Sus scrofa: one gene and its partners. The protein of the gene in region 2 interacts with the protein of the main gene of each other region in a pairwise test. Links are inferred from orthologs where the notes say so. Each region holds a gene or a part of one and is shown on either strand. Other genes may lie near its edges. The genes, in order: PRR14, CBX5 and SUV39H1.

What was found.
Region 1: the proteins of CBX5 (region 2) and PRR14 interact in binary tests that used the Homo sapiens proteins (3 or more experiments, as listed by UniProt). The two-hybrid records come from large-scale screens. The link is inferred for Sus scrofa from reciprocal best matches to the Homo sapiens genes CBX5 and PRR14.
Region 3: the proteins of CBX5 (region 2) and SUV39H1 interact in binary tests that used the Homo sapiens proteins (3 or more experiments, as listed by UniProt). The link is inferred for Sus scrofa from reciprocal best matches to the Homo sapiens genes CBX5 and SUV39H1.

Annotation. Positions count from the first base shown.
Region 1 is NC_010445.4:17,748,509-17,752,986, forward strand, and holds the start of PRR14 (proline-rich protein 14), read right to left. Parts: upstream 2,873-4,478; 5' UTR 2,753-2,872; intron 2,626-2,752; exon of another isoform or gene 2,392-2,625; intron 1,970-2,391; 5' UTR 1,921-1,969; coding exon 1,898-1,920; intron 1,774-1,897; coding exon 1,605-1,773; intron 1,020-1,604; coding exon 898-1,019; intron 826-897; coding exon 636-825; intron 109-635; coding exon 65-108; intron 1-64. UniProt on the Homo sapiens protein: Functions in tethering peripheral heterochromatin to the nuclear lamina during interphase, possibly through the interaction with heterochromatin protein CBX5/HP1 alpha. Might play a role in reattaching heterochromatin to the nuclear lamina at mitotic exit.
Region 2 is NC_010447.5:19,463,922-19,467,906, reverse strand, and holds part of CBX5 (chromobox protein homolog 5), read left to right. Parts: intron 1-693; exon of another isoform or gene 694-824; intron 825-891; exon of another isoform or gene 892-1,065; intron 1,066-2,529; exon of another isoform or gene 2,530-2,549; intron 2,550-2,739; 5' UTR 2,740-2,781; coding exon 2,782-2,918; intron 2,919-3,985. UniProt on the Homo sapiens protein: Component of heterochromatin that recognizes and binds histone H3 tails methylated at 'Lys-9' (H3K9me), leading to epigenetic repression. In contrast, it is excluded from chromatin when 'Tyr-41' of histone H3 is phosphorylated (H3Y41ph).
Region 3 is NC_010461.5:42,800,000-42,803,984, reverse strand, and holds part of SUV39H1 (histone-lysine N-methyltransferase SUV39H1), read right to left. Parts: intron 3,747-3,985; coding exon 3,601-3,746; intron 1,230-3,600; coding exon 567-1,229; intron 1-566. UniProt on the Homo sapiens protein: Histone methyltransferase that specifically trimethylates 'Lys-9' of histone H3 using monomethylated H3 'Lys-9' as substrate. Also weakly methylates histone H1 (in vitro).

The DNA of each region.
Region 1 (4,478 bases), on a different chromosome or scaffold from region 2:
TTCTGACACCTGGATAATGGCTGTGGCCAGTACATCTTGAAAATCCCTTCCCCAGCCCTCTCACCTTTTTGCTGGGACGATGAAGTTGGGCGTCTCACCGGCAAAACCCTGGATGTAAACAGGGGATGTTCGTGGGCAGGCAGGGAAGGCCCCTGCGGCTTCTTTAGCTCCTCACACTCCGAATCTCTCAGTCGCCAGAGGCCTGCCTAGGTTCACGCTAAAGGCTTTTTCATATAGGTCTTTGCTCAGGCAGAGGTCTCTTTCACCTAAAACTGTTCTCACTCTGAGCAAAATCCACCCTAGGAGTTCCTGTTGTGGCTCAGCAGTAACGAACTCAACTAGTTTCCATGAGGATGCAGGTTTGATCCCTGGCCTCGATCAGTGGGTTAGGGATCCAGCGCTGCCATGAGCTGTGATGTAGGTCGAAGATGTGCCTTGGATCCGGCATTGCCATGGCTGCAGCAGATTCGACCCCTAGCCTGGGAACTTCCTTATGCTGCATGTGCGGCCCTAAAAAAGAAAAGGAAAAAAAAAAAAATCCACCCCCGACTCAGCCCTTTTACTCTGTCTTCCATGCCCGCTGGAGCCCCTGCCCCCAGCTGAACCCCCAACATCATTCTCTGAAGTTCGCATACCTCAACCGGGGCTCTGCGGCTGGCAATGTCTTCTAGCATCACCACCAGAGTGGGCTGGGGGGCCTGGTCCACCTTTTGTGAAGGGCCTTCCTCTGGGCCAGGTGTTGGCTTTGAACGCCGCCTCAGGGTGGAAGGGGGCCGATGGACACGGCTCAAGGGCTCTCGGCATAAGCGCAGTGGGTCGGGGGGCCTAGGGACGGAACAGGAAGATCAGTAGGGCTCAGCTGGGTTCCCAGCTTACCCCTCATCCTGCCATGCTCACCTGGCCTGTGAGCACCACGTGGCTTGTCGGGGTGGTGAGGCAGGTGGCTGGCTTCGGGCGGAATCCTGATGGTTGCTGCGGTGCCGTGGGGTGGAGATCTCCTCTTGGGGCACCAGGGGAACCTAGGAGAGGAGGAGGTGTCGAGAGCAAGGTGACGGACAGGGCTTCCCTGGGCCTAACAGTGTCCTCTGCCATACAGATGGCAGACATCGTGCCTAGAATTCATTCGCGAGCCCAAGAAGTCAGCTGAGCTGAATTAAGGACCAGATAATAGAGTGTCTTGAGCTGCTGGTGTGGGACTTGGGTAATATTCACCCAGGTTTCTTTGTAGAAATGAAAAGGAGAAGGTACCCAGAGAGAGTCACTGCCCTATTTGGGGCCTCAGTTTTTCTAATCTGAGCAGTGGAACCAAAGACCTCAGCCTGCTTCCTAAGGGTTGTTTAGAAGTTGGGCTGGGAAGAAAGCAGAAGGGTTTCTCATACTTAGAGTCGTAGGGACGTGGTTTCAGCCCAGCAGAGTCGGTGGTGAGGAATGGGTCCAGGAGACCCTACCCACTTCCAGGTTAGAGTAAGTGAGAGCCGAGTGGGAGGCTGCCTGATGGATGAGTGTGAGAATGAGGTGTTTGTTATCCTCATTAAAGAACGGGTTTGGCTTTGGTACCCAGGAGACGGGAGGGAGAAGGGGGCCTCTCAGTTCAAGGGGCTCACCATGTGGGCAGCCATGACATCTTCCAGGACCACAGCCAGGACCCGCCGAGAGGCTTTTTCCAAGGGCGAAGGGGCCCCAAGGGGCTGCAGTTTCGGCCGTTTGGGGCTCCTGGCTCCCCATAATGCTCGAGCCAGAGGCTGGCGGCACAGACGCTGCCGGCCAGGCGGGCTGGAGGTGGAGAGAAGCAGAGGACGGTCCTCTAAGCCTGTTGTTGGCTCTGTGGTTTCCCCGGTACGGCCACCAGGCTCCCCGTTTCCCGGGCTCAAGACAGGCGGGCGGGGTGCGCTCTCACCTGGAGTCCCCGGGCAAGTCCATGGGGGAAGCGGCGGCTCCGGGGAGTCCCTGGGGGATCCCAGGCTCCAGCCTGGGTTTGGGGGGGAGCGGGGGAGCGGGGAGTGAGGGCCAGCCCCTCCCCTGGGGCTCCGCCCTTCATGGTCCGCCCGAGGCTCCCAGTAGCCCAGGGGCCGGAGCCCTGGGGCTCGGAAGGGCGCCCTCGTCTGGCCGCCGGGAACGGGTGTCTTCCCGCTGCTGCCGCGATCAGTGGATCACTCGCGCCCTGCCTGGCCGCGAGAACCTGGATTGCAGCGGCCCCAGTTCTCCCACGGCCCAAGCCTCCTGGGGCCTTTGTCCCTTCAGATTCTGCCCTGAGATCCCCCGGGATCAGCTGGGATCCCGGTCCTCAGAGGCTCAGTTTCCGCCAGATCCCTCTGTAATCCTCATCCACTCCCAGTGAGTGGGCGAGGACTCCGAAGGAACACTCCCACACGCCGACGGTTCCCCCCCTACCAGATCCCCTAGACTGGATCCCCGCTGAAAGAATCCTATAGCGCGGTTCCTCCAGTCAGACGCCGCGCGAGGATCCTCCTCTCCCCGTGAGCTTCGGCTCCACAAAGCTCCACTCAGAAAGGGGCTGCCCGAGCTTGAGCATCACAAACTCAGTCCGGATCCCCGGGGATCCACTGTCAAGCAGATACCCCCTTCACTCCAATCCCGGGAGGTCCCGCCCACAGACCCCCTCCCTCCGCCCTCCCCGGATCCCCGCCCAGCGCTCTCCCCAGCCCGGGACCAGATGGTTCAAAAGTTTCCTTCCCTCCCTCCTCCCGCCCTCTCTTCAGCCGCTCGGTGCCCTCCCCCGCGCGCCGCTCACCGCCGCCTCCCGCGGATCCCGGGTCTTCGACGGCTCCCACCTCCGGCTCCTTTAAAACTAGCCTTACCCAGCTCTGCCCAACCGCCGAGGGCCTTCTTCTCAGAGCCTTTGGGCAACGCCCAATCGCCGGTCGCCGTCTTCCGGGGTGGTGAGAAACTAAGTGAAGCCGCCTAGCGGCCATCATCCCTAGGGGCAAGAAGCCAAATTGGGCAGCGCCGCCATTATAGTTGAGGGCAGATAGCGCTGTCCTCAGTGGACCGCAGTGGGCCGGATGGCGTCATCTTTTCCGGCCAGTGAGTGGCCGAAGATGATGCCAAGGTTCTTGAGCTACTGAGGCAACTGTCATGAAGCTAGAGTACCGCCACGTTTTTTAAGGGCATCTTCCGGTTCTTTCGTACTTGGGCCAATAAACGTGAACTGAGTGCTAACGATATGTGAAATTCCCAGTTGCCTAGAGAGGCCCCTTTGAAGCCTTTTCCAGTACCATCGTGGGTTGCTGAACCGGGTTCCCGAGTTGCACGGAAGTGTTTGGCAGCGGGTGGCGGGGACCAGAGACAGGCTGGTGCCACCTCCTGCTTCTCTGGTTGCGTGGCGTCCTGGAGGGACTGGGCTGAGCGGGGGTGCGGAGGAGGCTGGGGCGTTGAGCTTCACTTCACCCAAGGGTTGTGTACCTCTTCCTGGAGGAGCGGGGGTTTCTGCCGCTGGCGCTGGGGGCTCAGTATAGAGGTGCTAGTGCCAGGAGACCAATAACAACCTTGGGGTGCTCGGTGGGGTGCGGCCGCTTTCCTCTCTTTTCGGGCCTCCCCCGAGCCCTCTTTCAAGAGGGACCTAGCTGATGGGCTGTGTAATCAGTCCCATAGTAGTAAGGGACCAGGGATGGAATCCTGCTGCTTAAAGGGGCTTCATCCTGAAACTTTTATACCAGGAGCCAGCTGGTGGTGGGGAGGTAGTGGCTTCTTGCACTGTGAAGGCACCCTCACCGCCTAACCAAAACTCATGCCTCCACTCCTTCCCCAGGATTCCCTGGTCCAAGCTAGTACTTATTTTCTTGCTGGAGCAAGAGAGCCTGAAGCCTAGAATCCTGCGTCTGAGATGACGGTGCACAAGTGACCTAACCCAGCCCAGCATGATTCTCGCCTATGAGATTAAATGATAAGAGTAGTGACACAGGGATTTCTCACTGTGGCTCAGTGAATGTGGACACGAATTTGACTAGCATCCACGAGGATTCGAGTGCGATCCCTGGCCCCGCTCAGTGGGTTAATGCCCTGGCATTGTCTCGATCTGCGGTGTAGGTTGTAGACACGGCTCAGATTCCACATTGCTTTTGCTGTGGCTGTGGTGTAGGCCAGCAGCAGTAGTTCCAATTCAACCCCTAGCCTGGGAACCTCCATGTGCCAAGGAAGCAGCACTAAAAAGAAAAAAAAAAAAAAAAAAAGAATAGTGACACAGAAAGGGTAGAATGGAAAGAGCCCCCACTGGTAAGAATTGGTGTAGAAAGTGAAGACACCCCAACTTGGTAACCAAGGACTCATTCAGAGAGATCTCCCAGGACTACAGCAACTCTCTTCATAACACAGGGCCTGCTGGGTCCTTTGGAAATCCGCCATGAGGCTTCTAGTTCAAATAGGTAGCTGTTCTTCCAGCTGAGGTGTTCATTCCCCTCTCCCCATTCAGGACTGGCTACACAAGTAGCCTGAGGATGAGCCCCTGCTGGTTTGGTGAT
Region 2 (3,985 bases):
ATCCCTTGCCTGGGTACTTCCACATGCCAAGGGTATGGCCAAAAAAAAAGTTAAAAGAACAACTAATGAGAAGTGGTTTTAACAGTAATGGTTATGACTAGATGCTCCCTCTACCCTCTTTTAAAAAATCTACTTAATTAAATTTCTTCCTAGCCTTAATTTCAGTTGAAAGGTTCTTTGGTAGCCCTTCAAGTCTCCAGAATCTGTTTCTTTTTCTAGTAATCCCCCAAGAGAAGGAAGTTGTATAGTATCTTTGAAATACTTCCCATTCCCAGGTCCTCCCCACACCAACAATTTTAATTAACTGTTCAGTGACAGATGGTAGAAAAGGCCTTGTCTGAAATGTTTCTGGAGGGCTGGATTAGGGGGTGGGCAGTTCATTCTGATCATGTGTAGATGGATTTAGCTTTTCCCTGGCGGTCCCCCCTTCTAGTTGAGCTATAATCCTGTTAGTTGATCTTAAAATGCTATTGATTAATTCCCAGTGTTCTTAAAGGAATAAGCACAAGTTTTGGGTTTAAAACCCTGGAGCCAGTTCTCTAGAGCTCTGAAGCCTTAGCCTTGAGGCCAAGGGAGGTACCTTCCAACTTCTCCACCCAGTCTTCACTGAAAAGGAAAGTTAAGCCTTTTAACTTTTCCGTTTGCCTTTCTCCCCCTAGTCTAGTACTGCTGCCAGTTGCCATGGCAATGGACTGGGACAGCTGCGCAGTGGCGCCTAGGCAGCTGGGTGGGGGCGGGGGAGCTGCCAGCCCGCCAAGCCCCAGACCTGGGAGGGGAGGCCCCTCCTGTTAGCCCAGAGGGAAAGAAAGAACTGGGGCGATCCGGTAGGTAAAGGAGGGAACCCCCATTCATCTTCTACCTTTGGGGCTCCTCTTCTGCATGAAGGTATAAAGGGAGATTTTCCTCTTTCCTCCCTCAAACTGAAGAACACATATGTAAATCCTTGTTTTTCCTTGTGAGGCAGGGGAGGCCATAGCCACAATGCTTAACTGCATGCATCTAACCCGGGGCTGGTTTTAACCCCAGCGCTCTGACCTAAACTGCTCAGCTCCCGGAAATTCCAAGGTGAGTGGGGGTGGGGGTGGGGTATTCTCCCTGGAATAGGACATTTCCTGTCTCTGGTGAGGTTGGAGGCTGCTTTTATTTTAAATAAATCAGATTTTTTTTTTTTTTTTGCTTGAAGCTTAGGACTTTCTTCTGAATTCATGGAAAAATTATTTTGAAACCCCTTACCTTAACATTCCTCTGCTTTCCCACCCCACTTCCAAGTAAAGTATTTTAATAAAACCATAGTTTTATTACAGAACAGTAAGGGGCACAAACAGTATTTTGGGTGGGCAGACCTATTGCTAGTAAGTTCTGCAGGTATGATTCCCAACTGTATACTCTTGAAATAATTCCCTAAATCTTGCCAATATGAAGTAAATCGATAAATGCAACTTTTTATGCTACTTGAACAAAATTCTGAGATTAGTAAGTGGCCTTCCCTATTCCTATGGTGGTCTTCTGATCAGGATGGAAATATTTTTTGAGTGCTGAAAAATCTTTAAAGATTACGGCAAGATAAAAATGGAGTTCAGCTAAGAAAACAATTCTGCTCTGTAATCCAGATTCTAGGCACCATTTAACATGGTTAAGGAAGAAGTCTTAAAAATGGGTATGGTAGCAACAATGTGGGAATTTTAAAAACTAGAATCTCTGTTGAGTACCCCCTGGTTGTGCATATTTCTGAGCTTAACTCAATTTCCATTTGTGTTGCCTTGCTTCAGCTTTCCTTGGGCCTATGAATGGTTCCTCTGTGTTTTGAGCCTTCATGTTGATGTGAGTCTGGGACCAGACTTCTTTTCCTCCTCCTCTTCCTTTGGCCCAGAGTCAACTCCAGTTAGAGGAGAGGTACCTCCTTAGTATTTGGATTAGTTGAGCCTTAAGAATTACTGAACAACCCAATGACTAATTTTGATTTTTAGGACTAAAAATTTATTTCTCCTCCCTCCCTGCCTCCTTCCCATGCCCAAGTGAAAGAAGAGGTTTAGTGTGTTTGAGATGTCAGCCTCACTTTTGTGAGCTGATGGATGCTCTGAAGGGACAGGCTCAATTTGTTTAAGGGAAATGTCCTGAATCACTGAAAATGTGGTGAAAGATGCCCGAGCAGGCATTTTCTGTGCTGCTAAGAGACTGTTCAAGGCGCTCAGAGCAGAGGAAAGTTAAATTTTGATGGCTTTTCATTTTTTGTTTCTTTTTTATAAAGAACCTTAGTCACTTTGGGGGGAAAGGTTTTAGTTCTGTCTTGGTTCTTCTAACAGAATGTTTTTCCACATTTTCCAACGAGTTTATGCCTTGTAAACAGTTACAGAAGTATCCAAGACTAAAATCCCACACACTACTTATTTTTTGGAATCTGAAATTAGAAGAGTTAGATAATTGTGCCATCTAATAATTTTGATCTTGTTAGCTGAAGAGAAAGTTGTGGTTTGGAAAGTGAGGATTTACCTGTTTTTGATTAAATTCTTAGGACTCATCTATAGAATGCCTCAAGACCCAAGAAAAAGGTACATGGAAACTTTGTTTTCTAAGTGAATATATAATTTATTTAACATTCAAACTTTGTTAAGGTATGTGCAATATGGCAGTTTTATAGGGGAGCTGCTTTGTATTATACCCCCTGCATTCCATCAAGAAGAGACAGAAAATTTTAACTGCTCACCTGGATTCTGACCGTTATGTCCTTCGCACTTGCAGGAACCCGGTGGCCTTAGTCCTTCAGGTGGAACAGCGTGAGACATGGGAAAGAAAACCAAGCGGACAGCTGACAGTTCTTCTTCAGAGGATGAGGAGGAGTATGTTGTGGAGAAGGTGCTAGACAGACGCGTGGTTAAGGGGCAAGTGGAATATCTGCTGAAGTGGAAAGGCTTTTCCGAGTAAGTACATTCTCTCAGGCTGTGAGACTTTGCACCCGTGCACCATCACCACCGTCTTTGTCTGTTTCTTTCTCTGCCAGCACTCCTTTCGTAAGAGTCAGAAGACACCACAGTAAACTAAGCAAAGTTTCCCCTTTCTTGGAGCAGATGTTCTAAAGAGAAGGCTTTTCAGAGGCAGTATAGTGACTTTAGGAGAGTAGACATGGGGCTGGATTGCCTGGGTCCAGATTCTTGCTCTACCACTTCTAATAAGAGCTGAGTGACCTTGGTGAAGTTTCTTAATCTTTTTTCCTCCTCTGTAAAAGAGGGATAAGAAATAGTATATAGCATAGAGATGTTGGGGAGATGTGTAAAGCCTAATACATCAGTGTAAGTATAAACTGTTATTATTACTATTCTTTTGGATATAACTAAGCTAAAGTACATACATTTAAGCAAAAGGAGGAGGTCCCTTGTGCCTCAACAGAGTAAGGATCCAGTGTTGTCACTGTTGAGGTGATGGTGAGGGTCACCGCTGTGGCTCAGGTTCCATCCCTGGCCTGGGAACTTCTGCATACCAACAAAAGAAACAAACAAAAAGCATAGCTCATAGCTTTTCATAATGATCTTTGGACCTCGAAAGTATCCTAGGATGAGGCACTCATCTTAATGAGAGGCTTAGATCTGAGACCACATTTCCCCCAAATATTTGTTTTTTAAAATTTCAAACCATATATACAGCTGAGGCAAAAAAAAATTGAATGAACACTCAGATACACACCACCTAGTTTCTACAATTACCTTTTTTTTTTTTCCAGCTGTGCCCAAGGCATTTGAAAGTTCCTGGGCTAGGGATTGAACCTGTGCCACAGAAGCAACGTAAACTGTAATCTTTCCCTTTATCCCTCAATGTAGCTTTTTTTTTTTTGCTTTCTGGGGCTGCACTTGTGACACATGGAGGTTCCCAGGCTAGGGGTCCAGTGGGAGCTATAGCTGCTGGCCTATGCCGCAGTCACAGCGACATCAGATCTGAGCCTCGACTGTGACCTACACCACAGCTCACGGCAATGCCAGATCTTTAACCCACT
Region 3 (3,985 bases), on a different chromosome or scaffold from region 2:
TTGGGGTTGCCTGGTAGGGTGGGGGGGCCTGCCTCCTACAGCCGGCTCTCCAGAGCCGTGTCCAGAGGAGGAAGCCGGAAGCCGGCCTCCCCCAGGCACTCCCGCCCGCCTCCGGCAGGCCGTCGGCGCCCCGCTTGGGCGGACTAGCAAAAGGTGCTCCTCCCTGGGCAGGCACCGCTGGGCGGACGGCTGGGCCCTCGGGGGAAATGAGAAGAGGAAGTGCCCCGTCAGGTGACACAACCCCTCGCAGCCCACAGGGCCCGCTGAAAGGAACGCTGCCTGGATTTCGGTTCCCGCTTTTGCCCTTTGCTGGCTCCCCTGGGGAGGGAGGGCCGCCCAGCCCGGAGGTATTTCAGGGGGGCTTTACCCGCCTGCTTAGACCACTCACCCCGGCTGGGGTGGGGTCTCTCACACTGGGGTTCACCGCCCCCAACACCTCGCCCACCGCACCGGGAGTGCGGGGAAGCCGCAGGCACACAGAGGGGCGGGCGAGCCCGGCGCACTGCGCTTAGCGGTGGGGCGGCGACGGCGGCGGCGGGAACAGGCGCCCAGCCCCGACTCCCTACCTCGCCCACGTACTCCATGACGAAGCTGTTCTTGCGGATCTTCTCCAGTGTGCGGACACCCCAGCCGCGGCCGTCGTCCGTGCGGAAGATGCAGAGGTCGTAGCGGATGCCCTTCTGCACCACGCGGTTGGGGCAGTCGTAGCCGCAGCGGCAGCGCGAGTTGCACTCGTAGATGGGCAGCCCGGCTCGCAGCCGCACCTGGCCCTGGTCGTTGTAGGCGAACTTGTGCAGCGAGGCCCCCGGGCAGCAGCCTCCGGCAGGTGCCCACAGACAGTCCTGGCACTCGCAGCCCACGGCCACCTGGTTGAGGGTGATGCCCTCACCCACCCGGTACTCGTTGATGTACACGAAGGCCCGCGGGGGGCCGTCCAGGTCCACCTCGTTCTCCACGGTGATGCGTCCCAGGTGGCTGCGCTTGGCGTTGAGCTCCTGCTCCCAGCGCCGGAGGGCCCGCCTCTGCTTGGCCTTCTGCACCAGGTAGTTGGCCAGGCTTGGGTCCAGGTGCCGCGGCGGCTTTGACCGGTGGTGCCGCCGGAGCAGCTCCCGTTCCAAGTCCTTGTGGAACTGCTTGAGGATGCGCACACATTTGAGATTCTGCCGAGGCTCCCAGGTGCTCTCTGAGTCTGGGTACCCACGCCATTTCACCAGGTAATACTCCTGTTCCTGTGGGGAGGGGGGAGGGGGAGACATGGACACCATCAGTGACCAGACCCCTGGGCCAGCCTTCATGTGACCTCCATCCCGACACCTGTGGATGACACCCACACTGCCCGCCCCCTTTCCTGGAAAGACTCTGTGCAGTGGTTAACAAGCATGGGCTCTGGGGAGTTCCCGTTGTGGCTCAGCTGTAATGAATCCAGACTAGAATCCATGACGGTGCGGGTTCAATTCCCTGGCCTCGATCAGTGGATTAAGGATCCAGCGTTGCCGAGAGCTGTGGTGTAGGTCGCAGACGCGGCTCAGATCTGGTGTTGCGGTGGCTGTGGTGTAGGCTGGCAGCTGTTGCTCCGATTCCACCCGTGGCCTGGGAACTTCCACATCCCGTGGGTGCGGCCCAAAAAAGCCAAAAAAAAAAAAAAACCCTCCAAAAAAACAAAAGGACAGGCTCTGGGGAGTTCCCATCGTGGCTCAGTGGTAACGAATCTGACCAGGATCCACAGGGATGCGGGTTCAATCCCCGGCCTCACTCAGTGGATTAAGGATCCAGCCTTGCTGTGAGCTGTGGTGTAGGTCGCAGACACGGCTCAAATCCCACGTTGCGGAGTTCCCGTCGTGGCGCAGTGGTTAACGAATCCGACTAGGAACCATGAGGTTGTGGGCTTAGTCCCTGCCCTTGCTCAGTGGGTTAACGATCCGGCGTTGCCGTGAGCTGTGGTGTAGGTTGCAGACGCGGCTCGGATCCTGAGTTGCTGTGGCTCTGGCGTAGGCCAGTGGCTACAGCTCAGAATAGACCCCTAGCCTGGGAGCCTCCATATGCCGCAGGAGCGGCCCAAAGAAACAGCAAGAAGACAAACAAACAAACAAATCCCATGTTGCGGTGGCTGTGGTGTAGGCTGGCAGCTGTTGCCCCGATTCCACCCATGGCCTGGGAACTTCCACATCCCGCGGGTGCGGCCCGAAAAAGCCAAAAAAACCCCCAAAAAGCAAAAAGGACGAGCTCTGGGGAGTTCCCATCGTGGCTCAGTGGTAACGAATCCCACCAGAATGTGGGTTCGATCCCTGGCCTTGCTCAGTGGGTTAAGGATCCGGCGTTGCCGAGAGCTGTGGTGGTGTAAGTCACAGATGCAGCTTGGATCTGGCGTTGCTGTGGCCATGGTGTAGGCCGGCAGCTACAGCTCTGATTGGATCCCTAGCCTGAAGAGCTTCCATATGCCGTAGGTGCCGCCCTAAAAAGACAAAGAAAAGAAAAAAAAAAGGGCTCTGGCGTGAGGCTCGCTGGGTTCCAGACCCCCTCTCCCTCTTACCATCCATCTGTCACACGTCCAAGCTTTAATCTCCCAAACCTAGTCCTTCCTTCTAGCTGCTGAGCCCCAGCTCTTGGCATCACCCTTGACTCCTTTTTCACACAACTCCCCCCACATCCACTCTCAGCGAATCCTGCCAGCCCCGCCTGCAAACCGACCTCTAGAATCCCACACTTCAAACCGCGGTCACTGCCACCACTGGCAGCAGCAGCCTTCTCCCGCCCCCCCCCCCCACTCCACCCTCACCCTCACGGTCTGTTTCCCACACAGCAGCCAGAAGGATCTTTTCTTGCCGAGCGGTAGCTATAGGATAGAGCGTCATGACACGGATTCTACAACTAGACACCCTGGGTACAAATCCTGGATCTGCCGCTCCCTAGCAGTGGGGACTTAAGCAGTTATTGAACTTGGCTGGGCCTCAGTCTCCTCGTCTATAAATAAGAAAAAGAAGCTGACATTTTTCTAGCAGGCATGAGGTAGCAGGAACCGTTCTAAGCCCCTTACGTGTGTTATTAACTCATTTAACCCTCACAACTCAATGTGAGAGCGATCCTACTAATTATCCCCATTTGATGGATGAGGAAAAGCAGCACAGAGGATTTGGATGAGTATCTTGGGGCTTCACAGCCAGGATCTGAACCCAAGCCGTGCAAGGCTCCAGGCGGTTCTCTTAAATATCCTGCCATTACCTCCTCTCGCAACAGTAACAGTTCCCACTTTACAGTGTTGCTCAGGAGATTAAATCAGTTTCTGAAAGGAAGTGCCTAGCACACAAAGTGCTGAGTAACCATTCGCTATCATCATCTCCACTCGTGGGCTCAGCATCTCAATCTCTGCAACTGGTTTGTATTCCTAGGGAGGTGGGAAGAAGAGATTTATTTGGGGATTCGTTCTGGCTCCTGCCCCTCTCATAAAGTTACTTAGGTTTCCCACCTGTAAAAGAGAGATGATAAGAGGGCCAACTAATCCTATTTTTTTTTTTTAAGATAAGAGGAGAAAATTCCTTTTGGAAACTGATGTGGGGCAGGGGTGAGTCAACCCTGTCCCGGCCATGGTCACCCCAGACTCACGCGGATCTTTTTATAATCGCACAGGTACTCGACTTCAAAGTCATAGAGGTTCCTCTTGGAGATGCCAAGGGCAGGGCAGGAGAGCTTGGCCAGGCGGCACAGGTCCTGGAGCTGATTCCAAGAAGACTTGCAACACACACTGCATCCTGGAACAAAGAGGGCCAGAAAGAACTATTACCAGGCATTCTGGTGAGGCCAGGGGTCAAAGAGGATCTCAGATCCTCCCTGAGACTTCCAAAGGACTGCCTCACGGTCAGTGAAATTTAATCCACAGGCCTTCCCAATGCTCAGACCCTTCTACAACAAAAACGTGCTACTCCCATCTACCCCTGGAGCAGCAGACTTCAGGGTGGGATCTGCTGCAAGGATTGTCCTAAAGGCATCT